Caenorhabditis elegans: one gene and its partner. The protein of the gene in region 2 purifies or fractionates together with the protein of the main gene of each other region. This does not show direct contact. Each region holds a gene or a part of one and is shown on either strand. Other genes may lie near its edges.

Region 1 (16,782 bases), on a different chromosome or scaffold from region 2:
TTAAAACAATATTTGATTCAGGATCAATTGATAAAAATAATAAAACATTACTAAACATACGCTCGGATCTTTTTATTGTGTTATTCAACAAGCGATATTTCTAATCAAAACATACCGAATAAAATTTCAAAGTATCGATTATTCATAATCTTTGCTAACTAATTTTTTTCAGTAGTCCAACAAGAAAAAAACTCATCGATGATTAGAACAGTTTCTCTTTTTCTTCAATGCACTTGAGTAATTTTAACTCTGGCCGTCGCGGGTAAACAAGTGTTGACGCAGGACTAATAAATATTTTTTCTATAATTCAAAAAAAAAACACAATCGCTTCAAATTAACCCTGTCACAGAGATTTAATATTTTTAAACTATACATTTCTGACTTGTACACATGAGTTTCCACTTTATAACAGAGTACGTGAAAACATTAGGTTTTTTGGTGTCTTATCAAACAGAAACCATGCGCTGACCACATCAAGCTGGCAGGAAAATTATTTAAAAAAAGATAAAAACTTTGAATTGTTATTTGGAAGTTTGAACAATGAACTTTCAATATTATATTATTTTTATTCTATTTTCAATAATTGATTATTCAAATTCTTACAAAGTTTTGGTATTCAACCCCGCTTTTGGGGCTAGTCATTCTAATTTTCTCGGAAAAATCTCTGATATTCTCATTGATGCGGGCCATGATGTGGTTAGTTCACTAAAAACATCAAATTTCCACAAATCCCCAAAATTCAGACAATGCTTATTCCTATAGCGATGCAAGGAAAAAAACATTTAGTTGGATCAAAAAAAGTGAAAAATATTATTCGAATTGATCAAGATCCACGAAGTATTGAATTGTATAAGCAAACCGGAGCTGAAGATGTTTTGAGAAAGAAAATTTGGAAAGTTGAATCTGATATTGCGTTGTTTTTTAAAATGGCTGGGAATTTCAGTAAAACCTGTGGTTATCAATGTCAACGTAAAAAAATAATAATAATACGAGATTTTGGTTCATTACAGAAGCATTTCAGATGTGTTTCAGCAGACAGAAATTCTCGAAAAATTGAAGAATGAGCATTTTGAATTGGGAATCACCGAGTCATTATTTATCTGTGGATATCGTGCGTTTTTTAATTTTTATTTAATAGTTTGTCTGTATTTTACAAACAAACTCTTTAAAGAAAATATTTTATTTACTTTCGAATATTGTTTTAGTGATTTTTTCTGCTCGTTTTTGAGTAATGAAATACGGAATATTTCTATTATTTCAGCATTATTTGATCACCTCGGTGTCAAAACTATCATAAATGCAGATTCAGTATTATTCATGGACATAGTTAAATGCACTCTTGGTGAACCATCATCTTCAACTTTTTACCCAGGTTTGAGCATTGTTCAGTTTATGATACTTTAATCATTACATCATTTGAAGCTCTCATCTCACCAATGACTGATAAGATGACTCTGGTTGAAAGAATAAAAAATGCAATACAGATGTTGATTCCTGTATATTTTTCAAAAATGCGATTTGAAGAAGAATTAAGTATGATAGAACCGTATTACAATGGATCAAAAACATGGGAAGAACTCTTGGAAAATGTGGCATTCAATATGGTTAATTCAAACAGATATTTGGATTATGCAAGTCCCACTCTTCCAAAAACAGTTTTTATTGGAGGAATGCAAGTGAAAACAAAGAAGCAAGGAACACCAAAGTTAAACAAAGAATGGGATGATTTATTAAATATTCGGAAGGAAAATGTTCTTGTTTCTTTCGGATCAAATGCATTTTCATCAGAAATGCCAGATGAATTTAAAAAATCATTTCTCGATGTATTTGCATCAATGCCAGAAATAACATTTATTTGGAAATATGAACAAGAAAATTCAACAATTGCAATGCATCTTTCAAATGTGAAAATGACTACTTGGATGCCTCAAAGTGATTTATTAGGTAGGATCATATTATTTTTAAGGATAAAGTCGTGTAAAAAAAAGCCTTTCGTCATTTGAAAAGTTGAGTAAACGCCAAAAGTCATAGTTAAATTGGGTCAGTTAGATGTAAGAAAAACTATGGCCTATAGGCACAAAAATGCATACCTACACACCAGACTAACAAAAAATACACGAATTTCTTTTAAAAAAAACATAGTTTTAAGCCTCTTTATTTGAAGAGTTATTACATACTTAACCGAGGGGTCACTTTTAACGGAAAAAAGTATCACGAAATTCCAAACAATATTAACAAAAAAATGGAGTTTAGCTGACAATCGACTGAGCCTGTTTGTAACTCATGGAGGTTTGGGAAGTTCTATTGAACTTGCTTATCAAGGAACGCCTGCAGTTGTTGTAAGTTTCGTTTTTTTTACTAATTTTATAATTTTATAGAACATTTTCAAGATCCCATTGATGGCTGATCAGCCGAGAAACGCTCACATGCTAACGCGTCACGGCGGAGCTATACAACTAGACAAGACAAATCTTGATAATCCACAAATGATTCGTGACGCAATTAAAACTATTTTAGATAATGATAGCTATACAGAAAACGCCAGAAAACTAGCACAGATTTTGGAGGATCAACCATATACTCCAGCCGAAGTTGTCCTAAAGCATTGTGACTTTGCAGTAAAATTTGGGGTATTGGACACTTTACAGTCAGAAGGAAGAAAATTGAATGTATTTCAATTCTATTCGTATGATATTTTGGTTGTTGTTTGTTTTTTAATCATCACTGTTGTCGTTTTTATCGTTTTATATGTGTTTCAATGTATTAAAATTTGTTCAACTATTTTCAGCAAAAAAGTTAAAAACGAATAATGTTCGAAAATTAATTCTAATAAACATTTTTTACTTTATCAATATTTTATCAAATTTTATCAATTATAAATAGCTTCTTCGTTCTCACAATAAAAAATCCTAAAATTTTAAAAAGGCTTCAAAGATCCGACTCACCGTCCACAGGAGCAATGAGAAAGTGTTTATCCTATTTTTCAAATACTTACTGAAGTTTGAAAATTACGAGATCTACAGTTTTGGTAACTTCAAGCTGTTATCACATCAACGAGTTGCTATTAACATCATTTCAAATTTTCCAACTCCTCTGTTCAAACACAATAATCTATTTTCAATATTTAAGAAAGGAGCAAACCTCATCAATCACGCACATGTCATCTGCTAATTTTGAATACAAATATAACATTTTGGTCTTACGACCAAAAACTGTCTCTTCTTCTCCTCCCGCATCAGCTTCTCTTGCAAACTTCAACGCGTCATACACAACTAATCATGTCCAAATATGCGAGCAATTCTCAAATTCACTGGTCTGCAACTTATTTTTCGCCAACAGATCACACACATACCGTTTCCTTAACAAAAGATAAGACACTAACTATAAAATGAATGCTCGGATTACTTCCGTGTATCTCCAACATGAATACAGTAATTTTATTTGTCTTATTTTTTACTAGGCACGTTTTAACACTACCAGAACAAGTTCATCTTGCCTTTTATACCAGTCCTTGGGACATTTCAGTTAGCTGGATAACATTTGAAAATGGTAGGTTTTACTTCTTGCGTTGATCTCTTCAATATAAATTGATACAGCTGAACCATCGTTGACATATGGAACTTCATCTAAATCTATGTTAAATGTGACAGGAACTACAAATACTTGGATATTTGGTGGTATAACTCGCCACTCCCACGTTGTAATTTTAAAAAACCTCAATCCATCAACTCAATATTGTGAGTGAAGTCTTTATTCTGTGATAAACTATCACTGAAATTGCTCAGATTTTTCCAAAAATTTTGGCTATACAATTTTTACATATAGTGCGGGCAAAACATATTTTATCCCGCAATTGTTTCCCTGTTTACTACATTTTCTAGAGAAAAAATATTCTATTCAGATTATCAGATTGATAGCCGAAAGTTTAATTTTCGTACACTACCGACCGATTTAACATCATACAAAGTTTGTGTATTCGGTGATCTTGGTGTATACAACGGGAGATCTACTCAAAGTATTATACATAATGGAATTGCTGGAAAATTTGGCTTTATTGTACATATCGGAGACTTGGCTTACGACTTGCATAGTAATAACGGAAAGTTAGGAGATCAATATATGAATTTATTGGAACCAGTTATATCGAAAGTACGAGTTCAGATGATTTCATCGCAAAATTAAACATTTTTAGATTCCTTATATGGTGATTGCTGGAAATCACGAAAATGACAACGCAAACTTCACAAATTTCAAAAATAGATTTGTGATGCCACCAACTGGATCAGATGATAATCAGTTTTACAGGTACACCAAGTTAGCAAGTTTTAAAATTAGAATATTTAATTTAGTATTGATATTGGACCAGTTCATTCGGTTGGATTAAGCACAGAGTATTATGGATTTGAGGAACAATATGGAAACGCTTCGATTTTCACCCAATTTGATTGGCTCACAAAAAATTTGAATGAAGCCAACAAGAATAGAGAAAGTGTACCATGGATTGTAATGTATCAACATCGACCGTTTTATTGTAGTGTGGAAGATGGTGATGACTGTACTCTTTATGAAAATGTTGTTGTAAGTTTATTCATAGGAAAAGTAGAAAACTGACATCAATTACTCACACGCGATCTGTCAAATTTTGTTTTAAAAATCCAATTTACGACGTCTTACGTCTACAATGAGATGATTTGATTGCCCTCGATCACAGAGTATTATCAGTGTATTTCAAGTGAATTTGTTGAAGTTTTCAACAAAACGTAGTTTAAACAAAATAAAAATTTCACAGCTTCGTCACGGAGCATTTGGAATTCCGGGACTTGAGCAAGAATACATCAAAAACTCAGTAGACATTGGGTTTGCTGGCCATATGCATGCTTATGAAAGAATGTGGCCAGTAGCCGATATGAAATACTATAAAGGATCAGAAGCATATCACAATCCAGTTGCTCCAGTCTATTTTCTCACTGGATCGGCAGGTTGTCATTCTTCTGGTATGAAGTTCAGTCCAATTCCAATGCCATGGAGTGCTCATAGAAGTGATGATTATGGATATACTGTAATGACAGTCGCTAATACAACTCATATTCATTTTGAGCAAATATCAATAGATAAGAATGGAGATGTAATTGATTCAATATGGATTAGCAAAGACCTCGGGCATTTCCATACAAATAAAATGAGGGAGAATGCTAATGGAAAAATGTTTTATTAAGAAATCATAGTTTTTTTTTATTCTCGCAAACCGCATTATTCACAAATTAATAAATTTGTTCATGTTTCTTCAATAATGATAATTATCCTAAAAACATTGTTTGACGTTAATACATGAAAAAGCTGCAATCAGAGTTAGAGGTCTCTTTGGTAATGAATCACTGTTATTGACGATAAACACAGAGAATGAAAACTAATTAGGCACTTACTTTTCCATCTTCTTCTGATCCTTTTTCTGTGTTTTTTCTCAAACATATGTCTATTTGATTTTTTCAAACCTTCAGTTTATTCCGTTAAAAACTCTTTTTTTATCATAAAACTTACTGGAATTTTCAATAAAATGGAACGAAGCGTTCATTTTTCTGGGGAAATAATAAAAAATTTTCTTGAAAACACTTCTTTGGCGTTTTGTAATTTTCATATTTTCATATCCCTTTCTTTGATTTAACAATGAGATACAGTGCACTTTCTTTCAATTTAAGGGTTTTATTCACGATATTTAATTTTGAGTAGGACTTGGTCTATTATCTCCTTGAAACCAGAACGTCTCGTGGACGATCTTAAGTTTAAGATTCTCCGGGGATTTTTGTCAAATATTTTAAATAAATTATATTGCGGTTATGAAAATATGCGTTGACCAGATACTTTGAAATTCTGGATGTTTTCAATTTTTCAAATGGATACGTCAAAGATATGTCAACGAACAATTGAATTTCGACTAGAATGTTAGCTAAAGTTGTTTTTTTTTCATCTGATTGAATAATGTATAAAGAAATAACTAATCTTCGAGTACTCGTTTCCCTTAACACTTGTTTAAAGAAAAAAAAAGAATCTGTTTAGTGAAATATAATGGGATGTTTAGATATTTTTGTCTGTGTTCGTTTTTATTGGAATTTAATTTTTATTTTTATGCTCTGAAAAGTTCTGATATAGTGTTAATTGTTATCATATTCATAGAGATTCCGTAATATCAATAATTCACTAATCTTTAAGAAATTTTTACAACTTTTGAACCAAAAATGAATTTGTCTATTGTTTCTCAATGTGCCAACGACATTCAAATGAAAAGTAAAATATCATTTTTGTATCGGTCCAATGCTTACATGAATAATGTTTTTACAATTGTCACGTGGATTTTAACCGCTATGGTAAGATTCATGTTTGCATAAAACAGACAACCACATTAAAAGTCACTTTGAAGGCATTGAAACAATTATGTAAAAGAGCAATATTTCCAAAATCTACACATGTTCTGATGATTCTCAGTTTGATTGTTACCAGCATACATGAATTAATTTATGGAATAGTACAGGTATCATGATAAAAAATTTAAAAATTGATTTTTTGAATGATTTTCAAAATTGTAATATTTATAAATGTACCACCTAAAATTTTTGATAAAGGATATAGGTTGAATTTTCAAAAAAAAAACGTGTACATTGCATAAGTGATCATTGCTGCAGATATGAAAATAACAAACTACAAGATACGTTTTGGGTTCCTGTGACATGTACGCAGTTCTTTCGTTAAAACGATACGCTTAAAAAACTTGAATGGCATTTGTTTATTATTCTAACTCTCTTCACTCTCGTTCCTCATTTATAATTGACCAGTTAATCAGTAAATAATCATTTTATTGTATTTCTAATGTTTCGCTATCATTCAATACTATTACTTGCTATACTGTACTTCTTTGAGTATGGTTTAGCATACAAAATTTTAGTATTTTCCCCCGCAACTAGCAAATCACATTTAATATCAAATGGTAGGATTGCTGATGAATTGGCAAAAGCTGGGCATAATGTAGTAAGTGATCTTTTTGAAAAATAATGAATTCTATCAAAAAATCCAAAATATTCGAATCAAATCAGAAAAATGCATTTCTCAAATTCAGACTCTACTAGAAATTGACTTTCTGGGAATTGTGGACTCTACAAAAAGTGCAAAACTCGTGAAAAAAACAATTGTCAGAGTACCAAAGAAAATGCAAGGATTCAAAAATGTAATTCAAAGCTTCTCAGAAGGAGTGATGGAAGATGAAGGATTGTTTGAATTATTGAAAGGAAATATTGCATATCAGACAGTATACAATGATTTATGTGAAGGTATTTAATTTCTTGTTGTTACGTTTTATTGGAGACTTAGAAACAATGGCTTCGAGAATTTCAAACTCCCGCGAATATGATTTTAAGCGAAATTTCAAATTTCAAATTTCGCTTTTGTGTTTTCAACGTAATCAAGCAAAAATGCTAATTTTAAAAAACCTTTCATAGCTTGTTCATTCACTTTTGATTATCAGTTCTAATACACAATACACAATAACATCAAAAACCATTGTAGTTCCGATAAGTTTTAATGCCAACTTTTTTCCAGAATTTCTTGAAAATGAAGTTATGTTCAACAAATTGAAAGATGAAAACTTTGATGCTTTCTTCGCTGAACAACTGAATATCTGTGGTTTCGGATATGCAAAAGCATTAGGAATTCAAAGAAAATTTTTAATATCTAGTTGTCCATTCTTTTCCCATGTTTATGATTACACCAGTCATCCTGCTCCCTATGCCAGTGTACCGTTCATTTCGGATATGAGTCCTGAGCCAACTTATCTGGAACGTACAAATAATCTTTTGCGAGGAATTACCATTAATACATTTTTCTATTTTTCTCATAATAGACTGACGTCAATATTCCGGAAGAAATTCGGGTCAGTGAATTTTCTGTTGGATTTGTAATTTCTGATCAGATGATAGATTATTTTAAGAGACGACTTCCCTGCGATTACTGAGATTGTACGAAATGTCGACATCATTTTTCTGGCAACAGATGAAATCATTGATTTTTCATCTCCAACATTACCAAATCTTGTTCACGTCGGTGGACTCGGAGTTGATGATGACACTACAGAAATGGGCCCAGTTTTTGAAGCTGAAATGAAAAAAGGAGATAAAGGAGTCATTTACTTTTCACTTGGAACCATTGCCAACACTTCAACAATTGATAAAAAAGTTATGGAATCGTTTTTGGAAATTGTTAAAAAGTTTCCTGATTATCATTTTCTGATCAGAGCAGACAAAAATGATAAGAACACAAAAGACAAGGCAACGGAAATTTCGAATGTCTTTGTTTCTGATTGGTTGCCGCAACCAGCAATTTTACGTGAGTTCTCGGTCACATTTACACCAGTACAAGCAGCCAAAGTACTTTCTGATTGTATCTTCATTCAGAATTTTTTAGTATAAAAAAATTTCTGAAGTATTATTTGTATTATTGTGTTTGTATGAATCTTCCAAAAATCCATACAAAAAATTTAATCCGTTGAAATCTTGTGGGCTGGAAAAATCAAACTACATTAAAAGTCTGATAATCAAATACATTCAGATCATCCCCGCCTTCGTACTTTTATTACACATGCTGGTTACAATGGTCTTATGGAAGCAGCTCTTGCCGGTGTTCCATTAATTACGATTCCATTTATGTTTGATCAGAATCTAAACAGTCGAGCAATCGAGAAAAAAGGATGGGGAATTAGAAGAGACAAAAAACAATTCCTCACGGAGCCAAACGCCATTGAGGAAGCTATAAGAGAAATGCTCACAAATCCAAGTTATACGAAACAAGCACATCGAGTACGTGACTTGATGAGAAACAAACCCATGGGAGCAAGAGACCGATTTATAAAAACAACTGAGTGGGTTATTCAGAATGGAGGAGTTCATGAATTGCTGACTGAAGGAAGAGATCTCAGTATCATCAAGTATTACAATTTAGATATCATTGTTCCATGTTTCTTTGTTGCTTTTTATTTCATAATTTTCCCATTTTTCAAACTCTTTGGAGGATTTTATTATTACAGTTGTTTTGGTCATATTGAATCAAAATACAAAAAAGATTAATGATTTAAATAAATATTTTATCACGTTTTTCTTGATACCGCCCGAACTGCAGAATACCCATTTCCTTTAGACATTATGTCATTGTCTGATAATTTTGATAAGCTGAACCTGCATTGGCGAACTGCGAGAAGATATTTGAAGAACATTCTGAAATTATTAAAGTTAGAAAAAATGTGCTCAAGTTGTCAAGTTTATTAAGAATATTCTCCAATTTTCAAAGAAAATACAAGCAAGTTACAGTAGTATAATATTTATTTAAAAATTGGAACTCATTGTTTTTAAATACAAAATCTTACCGCCTGAAAGGTATTACAAATACAATTGATAGAATTGGATCTATCAAAGTTGGGAGAATTACCAGAAATGAATTGAAGTACTCGAGTATTAACACACCAGCTTCTGAACATGAAAATCGCATTTTAAAAATAATTGTTGACTCGTTTACCCGAATATTGTGTGAGAAAGAATTGTACGACCAATGGTACAAAACAAATACTTGGAATTAAAGTTTGAATTGTCAATCCCGTGATCATACTCTTCGCATGTTTGATTCGTGGAGATTTGTATTCTTCGTATTCATTTAAAAGTCCCCATATCTTGCTGAAAGGATATTTCATAAACCTTTTTAGAATAATAAACTCACTTGCGATAGATAATTGCAGCTAGTGGGTTTAATACTAAAACAATTGTGAAAATAATAGTAGATGCTTTGACTGCAGGAGACGTCAACGCTGAAAACCCAAAAATTGAGTTTTGCTCAAAAATATACGACGGATGCAGAGCACGAGTTTCCAAAACAATTGCATTGTGCTGAGATGGATTTATAAATTGACAGATTGCACAGAATATAGCAGGTAGATGCACAATTATGAAGTTTCTCATTATTTGGACTGATGAAAGTTTTTGATGGGATAAGATTTTATACCGATAGTAGAATACATGAACAATTGCAAAAAGTGCAACCATTGAAGATGCCTGAAAATATTAAGAAATGATCTCTGTTAGGATGTGGCTGTAGACAAGAAATATGATTGAATGTCAAACTGAAATTTGAGCCTATTTCAAGAATAGTGTAGTTCATATTTTATGAGAATTTTTCCAGAAATTAAAAAATATTTTTCCATAAAAATAAACGTTAATAAAAAATACAATTAACTGATTTTAATTGGGCAAATAGTTAAAATTTTTAATATTTATATTTGGTCATTTTGGCTTTCGTTGTTGTATCTCAATTTCTTTGGAACAGAAATATTTCGCAAATGCTCTTACATGTTTTCTGAGTTTTCACTTAAAAATTCAATAAAATTCAACTCACATCTCTTAATAAATGCAGTAGAAAACACGAACGTCTTCCAACTCTGATGCATACACCTGTACATACAAATGCCACTGTTGTTTGATTTGGAATCATTCGACATTGCGTTAGAAATCCCGAAATTATAGTTACAACTTGGGCGGCACATATATTTAAAAGATAAATTCGCATTGTTCGTAAAAGTTTTGTTTGATTTTTGAATATGAGCAGAAGTAACAAAGCTTGTGAGAAGAGAACACTGATTGCAAAAATTGGATAGGCAACATTGATGAAGGCAAGTATGTCTACTTCTTTCATACTCTGTTTAATCTGAAATTAGAAATATTTTAGAGATGAAAATATAGAACAAGTAATGAGTATGTAATGACGAATATCTCGGATTACTAAATAGGTGGGAAATGTGGCGGGCATCGAAGGACACGTGAGTGTGGGAAAAATGGAAAATAAGACGAAAATGTTGTTAAATAAGGGACAGATGATGAAAACTGGAGTCATAAAACTTATATTTTATTGAAACTAGAAAAATTAAAAGGTGTGGCCATCGAGCAAAATCAAGATAATTCAAAAACATTTGCACAAAGTTCCCGCCTTCGCTTCGAAAAGTGTCATAAGAATGAAGTGGAAGCAAGTAGAGCGGAATGCAAAAAGCGGAAGTGCAGAGAGATCGAAATATGCAGGATTATTATGCGAGTAAGCTGAATTTCAAGTGTTCTATGGACAATTGAATTAGTGATATGTAGACGACTTCTGGTAACTTGTAAAATTTGCTAGCAGAGCATCAAAAAAACGTTCGCGAATTTAAGTAAAACGGCGCATTAGGTTGTCATAAACTCTAAGCTTCACATTCATATAAACTCTAAATCTAGCTAAAGTTTAATCCAAGAAAAAGTTTGAGTCCTGAGATTTGTTATGGCGAAAACAGAGAATGGACACTTGTTTTAATTTAATATCTGTTAATTTAAGTCAAACCAACTTCGAAGTCTCAGTACATCTCACCGGTACTTTCTTTGATAGACGAAACTATATCTGAAGGAAACGCATACGGAATGAGAGGATCGATGACGGCTAAAAATGGCTCCAAAGTATATACGATATATATATATATATATATATCGAAAGAAGATTTGAGCTACAATGTCGTTACGTTACAAAATTATTTTCACGAATTTTCAAAATTTCCCAAAAGCAGCGAATCGCGTGTCGTGATTACAACAAAAATGGGATTCCTCAAAATATGCCCAATAGCTGCTGAAAAGTCGCAGATGGCTGTTGGGATCGCATAAAACGGCTGAACGGTCGATTTGCAGGCAAACAGCTGACGAAAATTCAGTTTTTTCTGAGAAAAAGAGTTTTAGTGGCTTCTAACGGTAAGTTGATTGTTTCTTGCGTGAAACTTGCGTTAAACATAAAACAAACAAAACGTAAGATTTTGAACAAAATTAATTTCGAGCTGGAGGTCAATCGGATTAAAGACCGTTTGCTTTTTTTCAGCAGGAATTGAGCAGCTTTTCAATGTTCCCACTTTACCTGTAATAAACCTTCTCAAAAAATTCTAAATTTGATGTAATTGTGTAAACTCATTGCCGGATTTTTTGTTGATTTAGGCAGATCTCCGTCTTTTGATAACCAAACTTGATAACTTTCGGATGCATATAAATCGAAAATGTGCGAAAATCTACAAAAAGTGAAAAGTTCGAAATTAGCAATCAGAATATCTAAATCAGGCAAACAAAAATTAATTTCCGGCTTTTTAGTTTCGCGCAACTCACGCCCGCCTTTGCGCACCTTCCAGTCTTGTACCCCCTAAAAAACTAAATTATTCAAAACCAATTCAATTTTTATCTGCACTAAAAATACATAAGAATTAAAGTTTTCGTTTGTGAAAAGTCTCAATAATACGGTTGATAGGAGATGTTTGAATTGACGATAAAGATTGACATTAGACAGAAATACATGTGGGCTTGACAGCATTCCCTTGAAAAAGTTCGAATAAAAAGCAATCTTTTGTGCTCTATTGTTGAAATTTCCCCCCGCCGAGTAGAAAGTTCTCAAATTTAAAATAGACGCGGAAGAGTATTTCACTATTTCTGAAGTATCTCGTTTTCTTTAAAACTGAACCATAGAAAATATCTTGTTTTTTGTTGCAGTCTTTATGTTCAGATTTTATTTTAGATTTTATATAAGACCATCACAAGATTTGGACAAAATAAAACTACAAACAATTGACATGATTTGTTCAGACTGACGAATGGCAGAGTCTGACGTTTCGACAAATTTCTGTGCATGGGAATCTCCCGAAATTCGATATCTCTTTATTCTCAAAGAGCACAGTGGTTTCGTTTTAGTCAAACTGCATATCTTCAAAGCAAACCACGTGGCTTCCACGCTTGCACCAATGTCTGTTTGCTTGATCAAACAAGAAATCTCATTTACATGTCCTCCGACCTTTAATCCTCATATTGCAATCAACTACTTCTGCTTTTAGTTTTTCAATTTCGTCACACTCATTCCCCCAACATCATCAACGCACAACATGTGCGAAAAAAAAACTTTGAGTATTTTGTTTTGCGTGGGGCATCGAGAGAAAGAAGCCGACTGATTCATCCAGCAGTCGTTGTTTTGTTTCTTTTTGGGCCGCAGTGGGCGGTGGGAACAAAGAGATTCTGAGACGATCAACCTCTTAGGGGGTATTTTGATTGAAGAGGCAAAGAGAGCTAAGAAAAAAGATTGCGTTTGCATGTTTTTAAGGTTAAAGGAAAATGGGAAAAGTGGACAAGAGATGTGCAATTATTTTAGCACGAGTTAAACATTAAAAAAACTTGATATACTGATAAAAAAATATTTGTCGAAAAAAGTGACTAAATTTTTAATGTCGAAAATAGTAGATTGTTCATTAAAGTTTTAAGAAATCACAGAAGCGTATTTAACTTAGTCACAGTAAAACATAAAAACAAGTATTACGTCAAGTTAGAAAAAATGTTTTCAGTTACAGTTGAATCACTTTTGTCTGAAATAAAAATCGCTAGGTGAACTGAAAAATATGAGTTTCAATTAAAAACAAATATAATTCTGGTAAGAAACATTATCTTAAAGTTCGTTTTAAATGATAGTTTTAAATAATGGTTTCTATTTAAAAAAAATGTATTGCTTGAATAAACTAATGATCTTTGTTCTTACAATTAATTAAACATCAGATCCTAAGATGAATTCAAAACAAATTAATTATCTTGATGAAATAGGCAAGTATGGAGTGAGCATGAATAGAAGAAATAAGATTCCATTAAAATCAAATAATGAAGACTCTGAGATCCTGAACTTTTGATTCATAAAAAATGGGAGCATTCGATTAAATTATACAGTAAACACTACTTGTACTTAAAATAAAAAGAAACACTGCCAGTTCTTGTCTGACATAAATGTATTATTTTCGATTATTGAAGAAGAAGGGCGGAATGTATTTTCATAAGATTTTTTCAGATTTAAAATAGAAACCTATACTTTATAAAGCCATTTTCAAAAGTTTACAGTATAAACGAGGATTAGAACAGAAAACTCGTAGAGGTTTTTAAAAAATATTTATCATTAAAATATGAAAAATAAAGTAAATTAATTGAAATAATTTAATAGAAAAAACCAAAAAGTTGCCTTTTCGTGACACCCTACCAACTACAAGAAATGTGTTTAAAATTCCACGTGTTCGTACCGCACAAACAATAAGAACGTACATTGTTCTCTTTCGTCGTCCGGAGAAACGGTGGTTTCGTATGGTGTCTGTTTCGTTGAAGCCATCGGCTCAAAAATATGAGCGGGACAAAAGACAGGAAGATGCTCAAAAAGTGACACGACAGAAAGAGGTTAGCTCGACTACAATTAGTTACTTATGTGAATTGGCTTGATTGTCATTTTCAGTTTTTTAGTTATCAGACATGAACCATAAATCGTGCCAATTGTGTTTTGAATGGAATTTCAGAAACAAATCAAGAAGGTGGGAATTGAAAATCAAAAATCTACAAAGACTCGTTACAAGCCACCTAAAAAAGGAAAACCTTCGAGAAGAATTGAAATGCCTCCACGAACTGAACAAGTTATAATTGATATACTTGAAACGCCAATTGAAGGATCTCCATTGAATCCAGTCACCGATATGAGAATCGTACCACTTACCATCATCCGACTCAACTCTGAAATTCAAATTCCAGTGCTGGATCTTTTCTAGCTATAACATCAGCTACTAGTTATGATTTGTTTTACTATAGATCTCACATATGTTTTTTCTATTTTCTTGTAAATATCTGCATCTTATTCCAATGAAATCATTCAATTTCAACACATGTAGACATCACATATGGCCGAGGTGGTACGGTACCCGGTCAAACTGTGGGCGTGGTTTAGAAATTCATGTCGACTCGAGAGTCTATTGAGAACATTCATTCATTATTTTATAACTCGTTTAGAATGGATTCCCATCTGAAAACTATCGATGAGAAACATGCAGCTCGTTGCAAGTAAGTCTTTTTCAATATCAATTGGAAGGCTTATTTGAATTTGATTTCAAGTTCTAAATTTCGTGTTTTCAGGTACCAAAATGAATTGCACAAAGAGAAAAAGGACTTCATTGTCAAATTGAAAATGCTCTTGCTACCACAAAAATTGGTTCAACAGGAAACTAGAATAGTTCTCAAGTAAGTGGGATAAACGTTGATCAAGATTAGAAATGAGTTTACTTTCACTATCGTACATGAAACACTCTCATGACAATTTATAATCTGTGCAGTCAAATTTATAGTACCTTGTCACTGTGGTGGTACGGTGTCGAGTACTTTAAAAATTCTGTTTTTTGAGAATAAAGAAAGGCGCACTATAACGAATATCATTTGGATATTGTAGTGACACCGTAAGGGTAATTCAAGGGTGTTGTAGAATAAAGAAATGGTACTATTTAGACAAATTGTAAAATACTGGAATACGTTTACGATCTCAATTTCAGAGCTATACGCCAGTTGTTCGAAGAAAAGTTCCCGGAACGTATTGGGAAGGATAATGGTTGTCTGTTCCGTAGAACCGTTGAGGTGAACTGTGTCAGAACTTCCGTTTGGGCAACTTCGGACTTCTCCAAAAACGTTGACCTTTTCCATACGAAACTGTGCCAAGACAAATCGTTCAAAACGGATATTAATACATTTTCACCAATTCCTATCAGGAAGACGATAAAGAAAGAGGCACCAGTTGAATCCCCATTGGAACATCCAAAAGTTGGTTTGAATTCTATGCCGATTGATAACAGGCAATATGGAGATTGGAATATGAATGTGAGTTTTCAAATGAAGCATTCTTGGACAATTTGTTTTAACTATTTGAATGATTTCAGCTTAGTACACACAATACTGTTTCCTGGCATGTTCCTGTTCCACCTGCTCCACAGCCAATGCTGCAGGCAACATACCCGGAGCAGAGAACGGTATTCGGTCCTTCCTACCTTCAACAAATGGACTACAAGCATCATGCTCAAGAACTTTACAACTTCTCAACTGATTACTTGCTCACCCTTCCCCCGCCACTTGGGAATTCTTCAAACCTTGCCACTTTGCAATCCCAGTCCAATTGGTCAAACAATCAACTGTTTGTGCCACCAGCGCATCACATGAATCCTGCCAACACACAACAAATTCAAGTTAAAAATGAACCATTGGACTATTTGGATGAAATGCTCTTCAATCACAACCAAAATATTGAAGCCAATAATTTGTTTGTTCCACCCTTCGATTCATCCCTGCTTCAGCCATTCGAGCCGCCATTGACTGACTTTTTCTCCCAGCCCAACTTTCTTTTTGAAACTATGAACTCCTTCTCTTCACTTTGAACACATTCTCTGAAGACAAAATTTGATTGCTTTACTTTTTTTGGTATATGTTTTCAACTCGAATGACACAATCTCCAACTTTATAACTTCCAAATCAATATTTCCCACTGGCTTTGACATCATGTTTCCTCTCGGCATTTTAATATGTCCTAAATATTCTCTTTAAATCATTTATTCCAGTTTTAAACCATTAGTAGGACATTGTGAATAAAGATAATTACATAATAATTTCGTATTATCAGCATTGAATAAATACTTTGATGACATCAGCCTTCTGTGTTCTTTTGAATGCTTCTTGTGTTTCTTCAAGTTTATAGTGAGCACGTGTTAGCCCCGACAAATTTAGTTTTCCAGATGAAATGAGTTCGATTGCTGTTGGGTAGCTGAATAATCAAAGTTGTTTCAAATTTTATTCATTCCATTTCAATATTTTGTATTCTCAGAAGTTATAGAAGTGATCGGGTGTTTCGATGATCTTCAAATAATTATGTTCTTTGGCA
Region 2 (16,857 bases):
GTCCATAGATTTTAATTTCAGAAAATAGATTACAAAATTTTGTAGCTGAGCAGGTTTTAGGTTGAGGTGCTCGCCTACGTGGCGTACCAATAAAATTTGAGATCTCCGATAATTTTAAAATATTTGAAATTGAAATACATACTATTTTTTGTATATTCCCGTTATCATACCTGAGCCACGTGGTGTCAGGCTGACCCATTACGGTTTGATCTAGAAAAAATGCGGGAATTTTTCTCCCAAAAAACGTTACGTCAGCACGTTTTTAACCATGCGAAATCAGTTGAGAAGTTTGCGTCTAAAATCCAGAAATTCCCGCAATTCTCGTAAATCTGCTTAGATCACACCGAAATGGGACACTCTGACACCACGTGCTGAGCGAGAAAATTTGCGCGTAAGATATAGTGTATTCCATGAGTCTCCCTGTAATTTTTCAGAACATTTTTCTGACGTCATATTTTTTCTTAGCCACTCCGAAAGTATATATCTATTTTTCCTCTTTTCAATAATCCACGGCCAAACAAAAAAAAACCGAAACTATCCGGTTTAAAGTATAATCCATGTTCCCATGTTTCGGGAAGGGATACTCGAAAACATAAATGTATCAGCAAAAGCGAGCCTTCCTCGAGTTGTTTGCCCAATTCGAACTACCAGTCGAATCGTTCCGTGCGCGGGAAATGCTCAGCAGCTTCTCCTCCGTATGTGTGTGTGTGTGCTCCGCGAGCACGGAGACAGTGTCGCGGTTAATCCGCGTGTCATACAATCGTTTGTTTTATCGTCGGCTAAACCGATTCTCTCGCGCCTATTTGAAAGCAGCTACCAATCCTGAATTTGAGCATTTGAGCATTCAAAACAAGAAGCTGTTCCCTTTCGGGACGGAAATAATAGAAGAGTAGCTGGGAGAGGAGGGGGGTAGTTGTCCTTTTATTTCCGTTTCTATGGAGATTGAAGCGCGATGCATTGAGACGAGAAGAGTGAAATAAGAAGACGGGTAAATATAAATAGAATGAATGTGTTTTTCTAGTAGGAAGAGATGATGGATACAGGGGAAGGGAGAGCATTTTTAGTTCGTTCTGGAAAAATATCACATTTTTTCTAGTGCACAGCCCGAGAAGCAGCGCCTGTTGGCAATTTTCTATCCTTGACTTTTGTGAAAGTTTTTTTTTCTTCAAAACGGCTGGTGAAAGGTTCTTGAAACATTTTCGGAAAATTTTCGGGTATTCGCAAAATATCTGGGAATTTGTGAACATTTTGAGAAACCGTTGAAGAATTTAAAAAAACTTCAAAAAGTTTTAAACAAATTCGAGAAACTACTGGAAGTTTCAGAGACATTTAGAAAAATTCTAGAAACTCCTGAAAAATTTCAAAAACTTTTGGTAACTTTTAAAAAACTTGAGAATTTTCGGGAAAGGTCTGAAACTATGAAGAATCTAATCTACAGAACCATTTTTGTGAAAATTCGAGAAACTGGTAAAAAAATATGTGTTATTTTTGAAACGTACTGGAAAAATCTAGAATTTTTTTTTGGATAAATTTGTAATTTTTTGAAAATAAAACCACTGGAAAAAAACTGGACTTTTTTTGACATGATTTCCAAATTTCTGAAATTAAAAAAAAAGTTTTCAATTTTGCAAAACAATCAAAAAATTATTATTTGACACTTAAAAATATGTTTATTCCCGCAAAACTGCTAGAAATAGTCTCAGCCTTTCGACAAAAAAAAATCCTTAAAACTTTTAATAATCTACCAATTAAACGTTACCTACATTCAAACCTACGTGCCTGCCTACTGTCAGTCGATGCACCATGTGTGCGCAAACATTCTTTTGCAAAACGGCTACTAGGACAGTTAATCTTAAAAATCTTTTACAAAAAAAACACAAGTTCTACCTGCTACTTCTAATCCCCAGAGTACCGATAGTGCGCCACTCATGCTGCTCTGAGTAAATCTGGAGCCTTGTTTCAAGCTCAGTCGCGCAGCTTAAATTTAATTTTTAAGAGTTTTTCAACACGAGCTTTCAAGTGAAATATGCCTTGTTCAAAAGCCCGGTGGTGCATTCTGACCCTTCCTTAGTGACTCAACGATTACTCATATTCAATAATCAAAATCTTGAATTCCAGATTGCGACGGAGTAACATTCGAAGGAATAACCTCCACAGATTTCGACGATTCCAACTGTCTCCTGGTATCCTGTGAGCCCGAATGTCAATTCAATGGTCCTTCAACTCAACATTCATCAGGCGTTCTTTCAGTACTTATTCACCGTATTAGGGTAAGTCTTTTTTATTCTATTTTCATCAATTTATTTTTTCCGCTTCTTTCAAAACTACGTAGCCATTTCACACGTGAATTATTCAAGGGGGGGGGGGGGGTCGTGTGCATTTGCTTCGACGGCTCTCATGTAATGAGAACTGGGAGAGGGGGGGGGGGGGGGGGTATTACATATTAGTTACCTCCCCTTCCATTTCTCCCCGGGGTAGGTTTTATTACTACTTATTTTACGAGAGGAGGTAGTAATCATTTTGGGGATTATATATTAGTGGCGGAAGGATAGATTTAAAAGAGGGATACAATAACAGATATACGGGTGAATGGAGAAGGTGCTTAATTGAACGTAGCTAATATCCTGCTCTAAAGGTAGAAAGGGAAGTCTGTAGGAAAAAAGATTCTTCAGTGAAAATTACTGAAATAGAAGCTTTAGCCAAATTTCTGATAGAAAATTCTTATTCCAAGATATATTAAAAAACTATCAACTGACAAAGTATTTATTAAAACATGCTTAACAATTTTGTAGTTTACAAAATTTTGATTACTGTTATGAAAACCGAGATATAAGTGGTCAAAGTTGATGATTCCAAAAACGCAGCCGACATAGCTTATGTAAAAGTCTCCTGCGAAACGTCGGCTGCTTTATTTTTTTAATATACAGAATATATATAGAAAATCATGTGCACTTCGAAGCAGCCGACATCTCCCGGGTAGGCCATTGTCGGAGCGGCCTGTAAGGTGTCGGCCGTTGCCACCACCACAACCTTAATGGATTCTATCTCGGTTGCTATTAGTTCTAGAAAAACAGTTTCAACTGTAAAATTAATCAAAGTTCTGTCTTCTATAATTCTGCAACAGGAAATTTTCTATAGTAATAGAAGTAAAAAATATGCTTTCAAAAGAAATCCACTCGTGAAATGTCGGCTGCATTAACAACTGAAAACGTGCAGTGGACATTTACAAAACTTTTACTCTTTTACTCTCAGTATTTTTATGAAGTTATCAAGACAATCTCACTACAAAAATATGTTGCCCATGCTGCTCAGCTTCCAAAAAAAATTTAAAATTTCCAATATTTCCAGAACGAAACAACAACGCCACCAACCCCATCAACAACAAAATCCTCGTACATCCCAGAAATCCGGGCGGCACTAACACCCTTCTGGGTCCTGGCTGTCGCAATCGGAGTCGCTGCAATTTGTGTCGGCCTAAATGTGACCCTGTGTGTCGCGTACTGTTGTTACTGTAGACGAAAGAAACGAAGTCAAAAAGCACATATATCCACTGTAAAGGGTGGACCCACATTGCATGCTTTTAATCCTCAAGTTTGATTTTAGATAGTTTTTTTTTGTTGATGAGAAGTTAGCTGTGTGAGATTTGGAAATTTATGGCAAATTTATAAGGGAAAACTGAAAATTATTCCTTAAAAACTTCCACTATTTTGGAAAACATTTGGGTCCAACTCAAGTAAAATGTTTTTTTTGCAAATTCTGGAAGTTGTTAGGCTTCAGTGAATAACAACCTCGGTCTCAATGCATCACATTTGACGCGCAAGCTCAACATTTAAAATTTGCCCAAATTTGCCATAACTTCTCACTTCTCACCTGCATTTGTATACACCATAACTGATGCGCAAGCCCCTCTAATTATATATTTCCGGTGCTCAAAAGCTCATAATTGTCTGTAAATAGTCTCCATATGTTTCTGAACATGCGGGTAACTTGTTCTATTGTATATTTCCTTTTCCACTTACCTCATCTCTTGCCATTTCAATTTTGAACTACGCACCTTTAATAAAACATTTTTAAAACTAATTCTTGTTTGTTTGTTTGTTTTTGCTTCTGCCATTTAATTTTCAAAATGTGAAAAAGTGAAAGACCAAGTTGAAAAAAGAGACCCCGAGAAGCGCGGGGCGAAAAAGTGATTGAATTTCTGGGGTGCATCCCTTCCTTTCCGCCACGAAGAAATGCTTCCATTTCTCTCGTTTTCCAAAAAACGACGCCACGAAAAATCTCTTTTCCCATTTATTTTATCCCATATATATATTCTTTTTCTCCAATTCCTTGGAGGTTTGAAACATCGAAGAGACCGATAAACACTTGAACTTTTTAGAAAAGTTATAGGAAATGTAGTGCCTGCTGTAGGCACGCTGCCTGCCTTCAAGGTGATCTTTGCCTAGGCTTACGATTAGGCTTGAGCATAGGCTCAGGACTAGGCTTAGGATCAGGCTAAGGCTTAGGCTTAAGCTTAGGTTTAGGCTTGGGATTAGACTTAGGATTAGGCTCAGACTGCGGTCAAAAAATTTTTTTTTTAACGACGACACAGATTTCATAATTTAATTTTTTTCGTTCCCTCAAAATGTGCAAAAAAAAGCTTTACGAACACTCTTTTTCTTGACATTTTGAAATAAGTATTTCTCATTCTTTCCTCCTTCTCATCAACAATTTATGAGCCCTATGTGTTTTTTGTTTTGTTTTGTTTCCCCTCAGGGCACAAAATGCGAGTATTTCTTTTAGTCTTGTATAGTTTTGAAATGCCGCATTTTTTTTCAATTTTGAATTGAAACATGACATGTCTGGGTACTTGACTTTTTAGGGTTTTTGAAATTTTTGAAAAATTGGCTCAAACTCTAGTGAGGTTTTACTAGTGAGAAAATTATATTTCTATTTTATTTTCTGTTTAATTTTAAAAAAAGTCTATTTCCGTCAAATTCGAGCAACCGTTTTATTGCTACGTGGCCTAGAAAAAGCAAAACCTCGGCCACGATTTATTTGAGATTAAAAAAAAATCGATTTTTCTCTCATGAATCTTGCCGAAAATGGCCTTGAATTGGGGTTTTGTTGTTCCTACGAGCCCATTCAAAATTTCACTATTTAATTTCATGATGTGGCCGAGTTTTTGTAAACCGTTATGAAGAATGACTTCAATATCGTGGCAGGACCCACAAAAATCTCGATTTGATCGCCTATTAAATTAGTGACACTTTCAACTAAAGCTGTCTATATTTCTGAGATTTTTAGATAGTATATACACTAAACCGTCCAAGTGGAACATTTTTCAAAACTAAACTTATAGACTTTTCTACTAGAAACCTCAGCCACTGATTTTTCTCCTCAATCAAATCGAGCTACAACCCTCGGAGCACACTTTTTCTGCAAACTGATCCCCATTATCTTCCGGATTCTCATTCTCCTAGAGCTTCACGGGTATCAAATTCTCGACACCTCCTGATCTTCTTCAAAAGATTCCTTTCATTTTTCGTCGCTTTTTTCTCCCCACCACCCATTCAGAATAATTGCAAGTGTATGTGCAGCATGTATTTATGTAAAAGGGAGAGAAGAAAAGAAGAAAATCTAGAAGAATTATCGAAAGCATTGCGGCGGCCCCCCCCCCCCCCCCCACATTCCCTACATCGAAGAATGTGTGCAGCCGAGCAGCTCGAGCAGCCAGTGGTCTTCCTACCCTCTACTCGAGAGAAGGCGCGCGACTCTATCGACTTTTTTGAGCAGGAGGAGGAGACTCTGTTGATACTTTCAACTTTTTCCACTTTTTTTTTCATTTTCGGCAGGTTTTTGGTTTTTTTTTATGGCGGCGTCCGGTTCTTAAACCGGAAGCTGTCTACTGCTTGGTCGAGCAGAAAACTTTTCGGAATTTTAGAATTTCCCTAGGCTTCCTGTTATTTGATTTTTTTAAAATTTCTCCACTAACTTCGAGGCCCTAAATCTTTGCTGTTTTAACTCTACAAAACATACACTAATTGAAAAAATATAGAAAATAAATTTTCACACAAATTCGTAGTTTTACTTTTTAGATAACTTTTAAATCCACAGAGATATGCGCTGTCAAAGTTGGTCAGCGACAGCGGCCGACATCTCACGACCGCGCCTTGGGCTTGTGTAAAACCTTTAGATGTCGGCTGCTTTATTTTTAGTGTACTTTTCCAACAAAAATGCAAAAAACAACTTTTTGTCAAGTTCTAATTATTTGAAATAAATTTTGGAATTTCTTTGAAATTTTTTTTTTTCGAAAATTTGGAGTTAACGGCTTTTTAATACCTCCAACAGCCACCATAAGCAAAGAGTACGGTGGGCATCAACGCCCGACATCTCACGGGCCTCGCCCTATTGGGCTATCGTAGAGCCGTTAGATGTCGGCTGCTTCACTATTTTCACTTGTAGAGTGTTTTTTTTAGAATCTGAACACCTATTTCCCGCCATTATTTTTTTACAAATTTAGTTCTGCAAAACCAAAAACCCCTTGTTTTCTTCCCCTCACTTCAGTCGCTTCGATGTTTTCAATTTCAATTTCAAAGCGTCAGCCACGTCACTTTATAGTCTTATTTAGCCGTTTCTCTATGTTTTTTCCCTTTTGCTTCTTCCATTTATTTCCTTCTTTTTCAATTCACTATGCGCCGCCCGTCATTGGCTGACTTCTTCCCTCCACTGATTCAAATTCTCTGTTTTCCCTTTTCTCTTTTTGTAGCTGTCTTCTGATTTCAAAACGCGAATAACAGACGGTTGTACGAAAGAATTTCGAGCCGAATCACAGGGTTGGTTTAATAACGGGGATTGAAGCGCGTGATTTACTAAAAATTCGGAGAAACCTGCGCGTAAGATATGGTGCATCTCCGACGGGGGGTTAGAGGAATAGTGCAAAAAACCAAATTGATGCACTATGTTTGGCGCGTACTGAAAAAATTTTTAAAGTTCGATTTTTTGCACCAAATATTTTTTAAAGCCAGGTTATGCTCCGTAGAGCATATACCCACTTTTGCCAAAAACAAACTTAATCGTAAGATATGGTGCATCAAAAAAGTGAGCTCATAAAAAAGTTTGCTGACACCAAGACAGTGCACCCTGTTTGACGTGCTACCGAATATACTTGTTCACTTCTGATAACTCTAGAAGTGTATGTAAAATACGGTGTTTTACGGACGTAGGCTAGACGAAAGTGTGCAGACACAATGCACCATGTTTCACTGCTGCGCACCTCTTGCCTGCCTACCGCTTATTTTTGTGCATTTTAGTCAACGCTAAAATCTATTCCATGTGCTCATCCTGATTTTAATATATTTTTTTTGAAAGTAGGCACGTTCAAGGCAGGAAGACGCTAATCAAGTAACTCTAAAATCTAAAATTAAGATTTTGACGCCCAAAAACAAAAATCAGCAAGTTTTTCACGCATAACCGCGCGCTTTCCTAAATTCTGTAAAAAATTCTTCGCTCATTAACTATGGCTCGGCATGACTTTTTGGTTTTTCGTACGTCACTTTTCATAGGCTTTTTTTCGTCGAGACAAAAAATATTCATCTAACATATGTGAGAAAAGTAATATAGTTTCCCTTTCAATGAGCTCTCAATTTCCCCCCTATAAATATCCTATATGCTCGATTCATTGCTCCTTTTCTCATAATAGCTCAATTTCCTTGAGCTTAGATCTGTCAACATTTTTTGCTTTTGAGCTCGCAAAACAAGCTACCAATTATTGCTCCGTTAACTCTGAAAATAATTTTTTGATTTAGAAACAAGCAGGCTTCATAAGGTCGCTTCGGTCGCTGTTAATTTAAAAAGTTATTTTTAAGACATCTTATTCTCTGAAATTTTTTCAAAATTCTGAAAAATCTTATTTTACATCAATCATTTTCCATTTATTTTTAAACCCTAATCTCAATTTTTTCCAGTAATAACCATCTTCATCTCCACCTCCCACCAACCATGGCATTCCTTAGTCAACTACAGGGTGGGTTTGCCCAACTCAAGCAAAAAGCCGAAGCGGCGGCTCCATCAATCGCTGACTCGTTGAATCAATTGAAAGAGGCTCCAAAGTTCATGGAGAGTGCCTTTAAAACTGGATTGAACAAGGTGAAGCTGGATTCATTGGGCAAGGTGCTCAATGTGCCATCGTTGGGAAGGACTCAGTCGCCGATTGATATCGTTCCGGTTATCACTGCGTTTGGCGAGCATCTTCAGAATGCACACTTTGAGTAAGGAGAGATCTAAAACAGGGGTGTGCGGCAAATTCGCCAAATTTATTGCTTTTCTACTTTGTGTGTGTGCCCTCGTTATTTTTAGAAACATTGATTTTGAAGCTTTTGATATTTAAGCGGAATGTTTTTTTCAAAAAATAAAAGTTTCAAAATTCCAGAGTAACCTACGAATCGACCGGTGAATTCAAAGCAGTAAACGATGGCAATTCGATTTGGCTGATGCGTGAGGGTAACAGCAGTGAGCTGGCTATTTCATTCCTCCCAGAAGAGCAATATCATCTGGACGCTGTAAATTTTCATTGGGCAACTGAGCCGATGAACGGATCCGAGCACACAATTGGTGGGGTTGGGTACGCAGGAGAAATGCATCTTATTCATCGGAATACGCGATTCGCCACAATGGCCGATGCTCTCAAACAACCCAATGGGGTTATTGCGATCGCTGTTTTTCTGAATGTAAGTTTGAATGAGAAAGTTGTGACGTAAGACCTCTAAAATTCCAGGAATCCCACGACGACAACGCAGTGTTCAGTCCGTTGATCAATCTTCTACCACAAGTGATCTACAAAGGAAGTGAATGCAAACTCTGCTCATTCGACTTCCAAACATTCTTCCCGGTTGCCGAGAAGACGAAGGAATTTTGGATGTACGAAGGATCGGAGACAACTGATCCATTCCGAGAGACTGTCAACTGGATTGTCATCCGAGCGGCTCTTCCGATTAGTTCTCATCAGGTTAGTCAATGAGACTGGGAAACTTCTTATTTTGATTGTTTCCAGCTCGACAAGCTCCGCGAGGTCCGTGCCGGACGCTACGACGAAGAATTCTCTGATAAGGTCCCAATGAAGCCACTTCGTCCAATTCAGGTATAAACCTCCAAATCAGACTTTAGGCCAGAAAACTTATATTTCAGAACCCCTCCTCTCGTACAATCCAAAGTAGCTTTCGCTCAGTCGCCGGTGCTCCCGACCTCGGATTCCGACAGTGATATGGTACCTCAACCACCGCCAACCGGCTGTGATACTCGTCTTCTCGTTCAGTCATGCTTTCCGTATACTATTTTTAAGACATAACCCATTCCGGAACTTTAAAGGCACATGCTTCAGCAAGATCTACATTTAGATAGAGCGTCATTATGTGCCTTTAAAGCCCCATTTTTCAGATTTGCAATACAATAATCCAAAAACGCAATAACTTCCCCCAGCATTCACATATTTTTGATTCACTTTTCACACACACTTTTCTCTCCAAAAGGTCTCACATATGCCAAGCGTCTTGATCTCTTTTTGAAAAAAAATGTTTAGATGTATAGTTGTAATAAATATTTGGTTAGATTGGGAAATTAAAAAAAAATTTCATTCACAAATAATAATGATAACAAGAAAGAAAGTAATATAACATGAAAAACATTTGACAAGCCTGCCTCCCACGCCTGGTAGGCACGAAGAGTAGGCATAAAAGATGGTAACAAGAAAAAAACAAAGAAACAGTAAAGAAAACCTACTTTACGCAAGTTTTTCAAATAAATAATTCTTTAAAAATTCAATTCTTAACCAAAAGAACCCCAATCTGGAACAAAAGTTGGATGGCTGCCAAGTTCTCTTTTCTGCTCTTCGTCTTCGTCTCTCTCAACGAGAAGATCTCATACAGAGTTCTCCATTCAGGATAAGAATTTGACAGGACCCTATACGCATCAATTCCACTAATCGGATATTCAACAATCTGCTCTGGACGTCCTTCGAAAAGTCGAGAATTGTTGATTCGATGACTAATGAAGCAGGCATCTTCACTCTCCATCAGCAGTCGTTGAGTGTGTCTTCGAATCAAACGAACTTTGGTTCGAGCAGTGAAATCGACGAGGTCATCTCCAAGAAGATTTGTTGATGAGCCAAGGACGCTGAGCTTCTTCTCCTCTAGAAAATGATAAAGTCAGTATTATTGTTTTTGCTGAATTAGGGTTTCGAGGGAGGGGGTCTCGATGAAATCTCACGATCCGAGTTATGACGGAACCAGGTAGATGAGTGCATCGTATCTTACGCGCAACTTTTTCTTGTCACGGGGAGCATATACACTAATTTCTACAGTAGTCGCAATTTTAAATTTAATTTATCCCAAAAACGGCTAGAATTTTTAAGTATGATGCACATGAAAAATTATCTACGGAAAATTTTTATCTACTGGAAATCACCATTGAACAGTAGAGCACACTTTCATGGTCGTATCGTTTGGCGGCCTGTAGGGTCAATGCATCATAACGTGCAAAAATCGCTGACACCTTTATGGTTATTACGAGAAAGCAAAGGAACCGAGCTGTGATGTCACCTGATTGGCGGGATCGATGCACTATGTTTTACGCGTACGCCTAGCCTCTCATGTGCGAGATATCGCACTCTTTGCCCTTCCGGCATGACTCATGGCGGAAGGGCAAAGAGTGCGATATCTCGCACAGCTCAGGCCTATCCTATATGAACACGTACTCGAATGAAGGCGGTTTGGCCAAAAATTAAACTTGCGCGTAAGGTATGATGTATTTCCGTGGCCCAGACATTATGTACGAATAAAACAATTTTTGATAGAAGTTCATAACTTACGTTCAGTCAACCTCGGTGGCAATGCTTGCTTCATAAACTCTTTCGCCAGACTATCCACCGAACTTTCCAAAAGCTGATCTGCCACCAAGTTTCTCAACATGCTCATATGCCTGTCAACAACCATCTTGAACTTCTCGACAAAATGATCCTCTTGTGAATAGTCCAAATCAATAACTCCTCCCATATCAAACAATCCAGTTGGCAATCCACGTCGCAACTTGTGACGTGTGTCAGTGAGTACTCCAATTGCTTCGGGCACTACTTTCTCCATCAAGTTGGCAAAACTCCATTGTCTTCCCGTAGAAACTGTCACATGAAGAGAATGAACTTTCGAATCGGTTCTTGCTTGATGAATGTAGCCTCTTGGAATATAAATCATATCTCCCTTCTCAATCCATCCCTCGAAAACTGGCTCTCGTCCTTTCATATCGTCTTCCGTGAAGTTGTCACTAGACTCAAGTGGAAGCTCCTCTTCAGCTGATTCTGGAGCCCAGACTCTCCAATATTTCCGTCCCTCAACTTGAAGAAGAAACGCGTCGATCTCATCCCAATGTGGGGCAAAACCAGAGCTTCCTGCTGGTGTAAGATAGGTATTTGCACCAACAAAGCATCCAAATTGCTCCTGAATCACTTCACACAGGTACCAGATACGATCATCGTAGGTTTGGGGGTTGACGAGTTGAACAGAGCACATGTTCTGAATTTGAAAAAGTATTGATAGTATTACTAACAAGGGATACGATATTGGTGCGGAAGAGGTACTGTAGGGTACGTTAGTGGTACTGTAGAGGTACTGTTTAAAGTAGCATGTGATCTTGGTACAACAGGGGTACTGTAGGGGTCGCTATTAGTGCAATGGGGGGGGGGGTGGTACTGTATGAAATAGGATATGTTCGTGGTACGGTAGGGGTGCGGTAGGGTTCGCTAGTCGTAATGTAGAGGTACTGTATAAAGTAGCATGTGTTCTTGGTACAAGAGGGGTACAAGAGGGGTACTGTAGGGTTTGCTATTAGTGCAATGGGGGGCTGGTACTGTATGAAGTAGGATGTGCTTTTGGTACTAGAGGGGTACTGTAGGGATCGCTAGTGCTGTGTTATTGTTTAAGTTTCTGATTTTCAGAAAAAAAACCCACATGAAGGTGCTGCTTAACAATTTGCGGGTAGGCACGTCCTTGTCCATTCAACGTAGTTCTAACCCCATTTTTGTACTGTGCAATATTGATATTCCGTCCATACTCCAAATGGTTCTTCTCGAGAAGCTCGCCGAGTCGGGCAGTTGAGAAAAGGTTGCCAAAGTATGTCGGCTGCTTGCGACGCACCACAAGAACATTCGATTGGTAGAATTTGCTGATAATTATTCATTTTTCAGTTTCACTCAAAACTAGAAAAACTTACTCAAAGAAAGTCTGAACATCACACGGCGAAATCATAAATCCAAATGCTCGAGAAGAAGTGACCACGGAGTCTTCATCGGTAAAGGGGAACTTGTCAAAGTCCACGGCTGGGGCGTTACGGGTGAACTTGTCCTTGGAAATCACATGGGCTTCACGATCCTTTCCAGCAATGAATCCCTCGTCATCAGAGTCTGCATCCATTTCTGAGACAACAGATTCTTCGTCAGAGACATCTTCTTCTTCTTCTTCTTGCTCATCAGCTTCTTCCTCCTCGTCCTCAAACTCTTCATCTTCAAACTCTTCATCCTCAATCTCCTCATCCTCCATGTCTTCCTCATCCTCCACTGATTCAAAATTAATATATCTCTCAATATCCTTCGGATCAATCATCATTTCATCTTCATCAATATCAGTTTCATCTTCATCTTCCAGCTCTTCATCACTATCCAGTCCAATCATTTGCTCATCGTCACTTTCCACAACTTCTGTCTTCTTGAACGCAATTTCCCGTCCATTTGAGATCAGAGTCACCTTATTTTCATTATCAGGCTCTTCTACAAAGTATGTGGATCTTGTGGAAGTCTCATTTTGGACAAGTGCTGTGTCTGAAAATTAAGAATAATTAGACACTAGGTTTTTTGGAATTTAAAAAAAAACCAGTTTGCTGGTGTCCTCGAAATGATTTTAAAAATTATTAAAATTAGAATTTATCGCGGAATTTTTAAAGCCTTTTTCTGAAAAATTATAAAAATCTAATTTTTCAGAGAAAGTTTAAAAAATAAATTTTTTTTTTGAAAATTTGGGTTAATTTTTAGAACATTTTCAGAATACCAAATCCTAATTTAAAAAATGTCAGAAAATTTAAAAAAAAAGTAATTATGAATTTTCCGCCAAATACTTTGAACGTATGTAAGAGCAATGTTTTTGAACATTTTCAAATTAGTTTTAATGTTTTTGTAAAATTAAAATCACAATTTCCAACCGATTTTTTCAAAATGAAAATGAAAATTTTTAATTGAAATTTTCTGAAATAGGAGAAATTTTTAATTATTTATTCAAGTAATTCAAAAAATCCAAATTTGGTGAAATTTTTTTAAAATTTACCTCATAATATATAAATTTAATTAGAATTTGAAATTCTTAAACTTTTTTTAAACATATCAAAAACTAAAGAAAATAACAAATATTTTTCAGAGTTAATTTATAGATAATTTCATGGGTCACAAAAAAAAAATCAACAAAATAGTCAACAATTGTACTAGAAAAACCAAAAAAAATAACATTTTTGTCAGGGGACGCTTCGCAACTGAAATCGGCAACTCAGAGATGATTTCGATGTCAGCTAGCTGCTGTCCCTGAACAAAAATCATTCAAAAAATTGATTTGGTAGCCTAGAAAAATGGAAAACCTCGGCCAACTTTTTTACATCAACTAAAAAACAATCCAAAAATTCCAATAAAATGGCCATTTTTACCCGGTTAAAATCTTCTGGATTTGATTTTTAAGGGTGACCTAAAACATATAGCCATGGCTTTTTTGTCTTTACTTCCACGTTGTACTGCGTGACCTAGAAAAATTAAAATTCGGCCATAATTAAAACTGAGGGCTACGCGGCGACCTTGGCCGATTGAGATTTTCTCTGCCAACGATACCCGGTTTCAAATTCTAAGCATTTCTTACAACTCACGTTTATTCTGATTTTTCATCTTCTTATTCTTACTCTTCTCATCTTCCTTTTTCACCTCAACTTTTGGCTTCTTGTTCTCTAACTTTTGTGTTGTCACCTCCACATGTTTTCTCTTGGTTCCTCCATTTTGTTTCGGAACTGGCCCATGTGAAAGAACTCGATCGATATTCAATCCATCGTGAATTCTTTTCACTTTCTCCAGCTTGGCTGGATGCACAAATTTCGGCTCTTTTGAGGGCTCTTTGTAGTGGGAAACAGCTGAAAATGTCAATTGAATTTGACTGACCAAAGATATCTCTTTTTTTTTTGGATCAGAATGTTTTCAAAAAAAATTGGGGATTTTTCCAGAAAATCTGGAAACTAGGAGTTTAATTTTTTGTAAAATTATATTTCCTAAAAAGACTTCATTAATCAATAATTGACTTTTTTGTTACGTACACCATTTAACTAACAGTAGCGTACACTTTTTTACATGGAAACTGAAATTTTTGACGAAAATCTACTCTTGGCTAAATATTTATATTTAGTTGAATTTTGCAGTTTTCCACGTGAAATACACAACCATTTACTAACCTAAAAGTATATTTTCTTGATGAAAAAGAATTAATCCAATGGCCAATGTAAATTTTCAATGAAAAAACATCGATTAGATTTAGGGAGTCAAAAATTGAAGAAAACATTTTCTATCGATGCACCATGTCTATTCCTCACTTTGACAGCGCATATCTTGGCTATTTTTAAGATATCAAACAATGTTCAATTACAGAAATGTAGAAAAATATTCAATAAAAACTTTTTCAGTTGACAGCTTTTCAATGAAATAAAAAGTTAGTGAGATATAAGTAATCAAAGTTAGTCAGTAGAATATTTGACAGAAAATTTCCTAAAATGTCTGCCGTTTTCTAGAATTTGAAAGTCATAGTCTTTAAAAAGCAATTTCGAAGACAAAATAAAAATACCTGCACTTTTAGCTTCACCGAGCTCAATACTGGACCATCTGTCGTTATGCTTAACTGCTGGTGCAGCAGCAGCCGACTTGTTTGAGTTTTTCTTTTTGCCCATTTCGCACTCTGAGAATTTCAAAATCTAGCAAATTTTAAAAATACAATTAAATGCCTATTTTTGAAATTAAATAAAATAAATAAATCCGGCAAAAAACAACAAAAATAAACAACTTTTTAGGCCTCAAATTTAAAGAAAAAAGAGTTCGCGCGGTGTACGTGAGTATCTACTGGTTTGACGGGAAAAGATGGGAAACCTAGGCCACGGCCATCGAGAGACAGTGGGGAGGAAGGAAACCCAGACATTCAAGAAGGGTGGCTAGGGGGTATGGACATATGGAATTGACTGTCTATATTATTGTTGTTTTAATAGGTTTTATCGATTTTTTCCAATGCCCTGGCTATTAGGTCAGCTGTCTTTCTATAAAATTGTTTTGAATTTGATTTATTTTAAATACTTATGTTAATAAAAAAAACATCTAGTTTTTAGATTTCTAACATTTTTTGGTAAATTGCCAAGTTTACGAAAATCTGATCTTTCTGAAAAATATTGAGCAGTTTTGTAGTATTTGTCCTGTTTATAAAAAAGGTAAAATCTTTAAAATATAGGATCTGATAAATCTTTTGGTGAGCTGTTTCTTCTCGATTCACCATGTCTATCATTCACTTTGACTGCCCATATCTTGGTTAATTTTTGGGATATAAAATTATTTTAATTTACACAAAACAGGAAAAGAAATACTAAATGTTTTTCAATTGACAATTTTTTGGTAAAATCAAATACAACTGAGATATGAGAAGGCAAAGTTAAGATAATTTTTTTTCGATGCACCATATCCTTCTTGGCAGCTAGGAAATAGAAAAAACCTCATGTACATGTCTTATTCCTTATAACTTTCTAAAATTTTCAAAAATAGTTTGAAAATGAATATTTCCAGACCTAAATTTGTACCTTGCTTACGACCGTGAAACATCCGCATCTTTCCGTCTCTGCGTCGACATTTCTTCTTTTGGTTTTTTCTCTCCGTCTCAAACTTCTCAAGTTGTTTTTTTTTTTTTGGAATTTGAATTTCGAGTTTTAATAAAATGGTAAGATTCTTTTACAGATTTATGTTTTCTAAACGAAATATTTATTTCAGAAATATCATTTTCTCGGAGACATGGAGTGCCCGTCGTGGCTTCTTGAGGAAATTTGCACGAACTTTTCGAATTTGGTGGGCCTAGATCTAGTTTTTGTGCGGATGAAATAAAAATTCTTTCAGACTGTGCTCAAATTCAAGGAGCTCTGCAATCGAGCATCACATTTGGTTCTCTGTGGACACGACAAGCCAATACTTTCGGATACTTCAGAAGGAATCAGTAAGCTAGTTTTTTGATTTTAAACGTTCAGCTGAAATGCTATGTGGCCACTAAATAAATATCGGTGGCCGAGTTTTTTAAAATTGGAATTATCATAAAATTTGCATTACCTAGCTTTTTGACTTTTCCCGGCCAGCTTCATCTCCAAAATTTGATTTTAATGTGTGCTCTGCCGACAAACAACCGACATCTCGCGATTTTGAAAACCACAGCAAAATGGCCGCGAAAAAAAAATCGGTGGCCGAGTTTTCTTTATTCTAATTTTTCACCCTACATAGTTTAAAAAAAAAACAATTTAGATAGAAAATTCCAAATTTCTACCCTTTCCAAAACTATTTTTCAGAAATTTTAAAAATAGGTGTGAATTTCAAATTTCAATTTTTCAAGAAATATGCACGCAAAAAAAATAATAACTGATTTTGAAAAAGGTTCAGGAAATTCTGCGATATCGAGTTTTTTCCAGAAAATTCACATTAAAAAGAATGGAAAAAAATTTCTCCGAGACCAAAATTTACCAATTTTCAGATTCTGTTAATAATCACACGAATCTCGTTTTAATCGGAAACTGGCTTCT

What was found.
Region 1: the proteins of jmjc-1 (region 2) and R04B5.7 fractionate together in Caenorhabditis elegans (co-fractionation; one large-scale study listed by BioGRID). This does not show direct contact.

What each region holds. Positions count from the first base shown.
Region 1 is NC_003283.11:10,088,657-10,105,438, reverse strand, and holds R04B5.7 (BHLH domain-containing protein), read left to right. Parts: upstream 1-14,877; coding exon 14,878-14,927; intron 14,928-14,999; coding exon 15,000-15,104; intron 15,105-15,409; coding exon 15,410-15,731; intron 15,732-15,790; coding exon 15,791-16,282; downstream 16,283-16,782. Other genes in the region: ugt-17 (glucuronosyltransferase), read left to right, coding at 541-696, 744-969, 1,022-1,111, 1,262-1,372, 1,423-1,944, 2,254-2,339, 2,379-2,810; C08B6.14 (Purple acid phosphatase), read left to right, coding at 3,423-3,549, 3,597-3,737, 3,902-4,149, 4,193-4,305, 4,350-4,578, 4,790-5,215; Putative UDP-glucuronosyltransferase ugt-47, read left to right, coding at 6,862-7,020, 7,109-7,319, 7,588-7,918, 7,976-8,370, 8,593-9,107; srd-49 (G-protein coupled receptors family 1 profile domain-containing protein), read right to left, coding at 9,128-9,254, 9,404-9,506, 9,553-9,707, 9,751-10,082, 10,423-10,719; R04B5.11 (Transposase), read left to right, coding at 14,187-14,276, 14,340-14,513; R04B5.5 (Sorbitol dehydrogenase), read right to left, coding at 16,521-16,665.
Region 2 is NC_003279.8:3,621,491-3,638,347, forward strand, and holds jmjc-1 (Bifunctional lysine-specific demethylase and histidyl-hydroxylase NO66), read right to left. Parts: upstream 14,994-16,857; 5' UTR 14,986-14,993; coding exon 14,883-14,985; intron 14,182-14,882; coding exon 13,924-14,181; intron 13,592-13,923; coding exon of another isoform or gene 13,575-13,591; exon of another isoform or gene 13,268-13,574; intron 12,842-13,267; coding exon 12,238-12,841; intron 12,190-12,237; coding exon 11,976-12,189; intron 11,541-11,975; coding exon 10,844-11,540; intron 10,166-10,843; coding exon 9,795-10,165; 3' UTR 9,601-9,794; downstream 1-9,600. Other genes in the region: Y47G6A.32 (MANSC domain-containing protein), read left to right, coding at 2,119-2,270, 3,349-3,597; cah-6 (Carbonic anhydrase), read left to right, coding at 7,981-8,249, 8,411-8,708, 8,756-8,986, 9,032-9,118, 9,166-9,240; T28F2.2 (Protein LAZ1), read left to right, coding at 16,011-16,013, 16,064-16,138, 16,187-16,283, 16,809-16,857. UniProt on the Caenorhabditis elegans protein: Oxygenase that can act as both a histone lysine demethylase and a ribosomal histidine hydroxylase. Specifically demethylates 'Lys-4' (H3K4me) and 'Lys-36' (H3K36me) of histone H3, thereby playing a central role in histone code.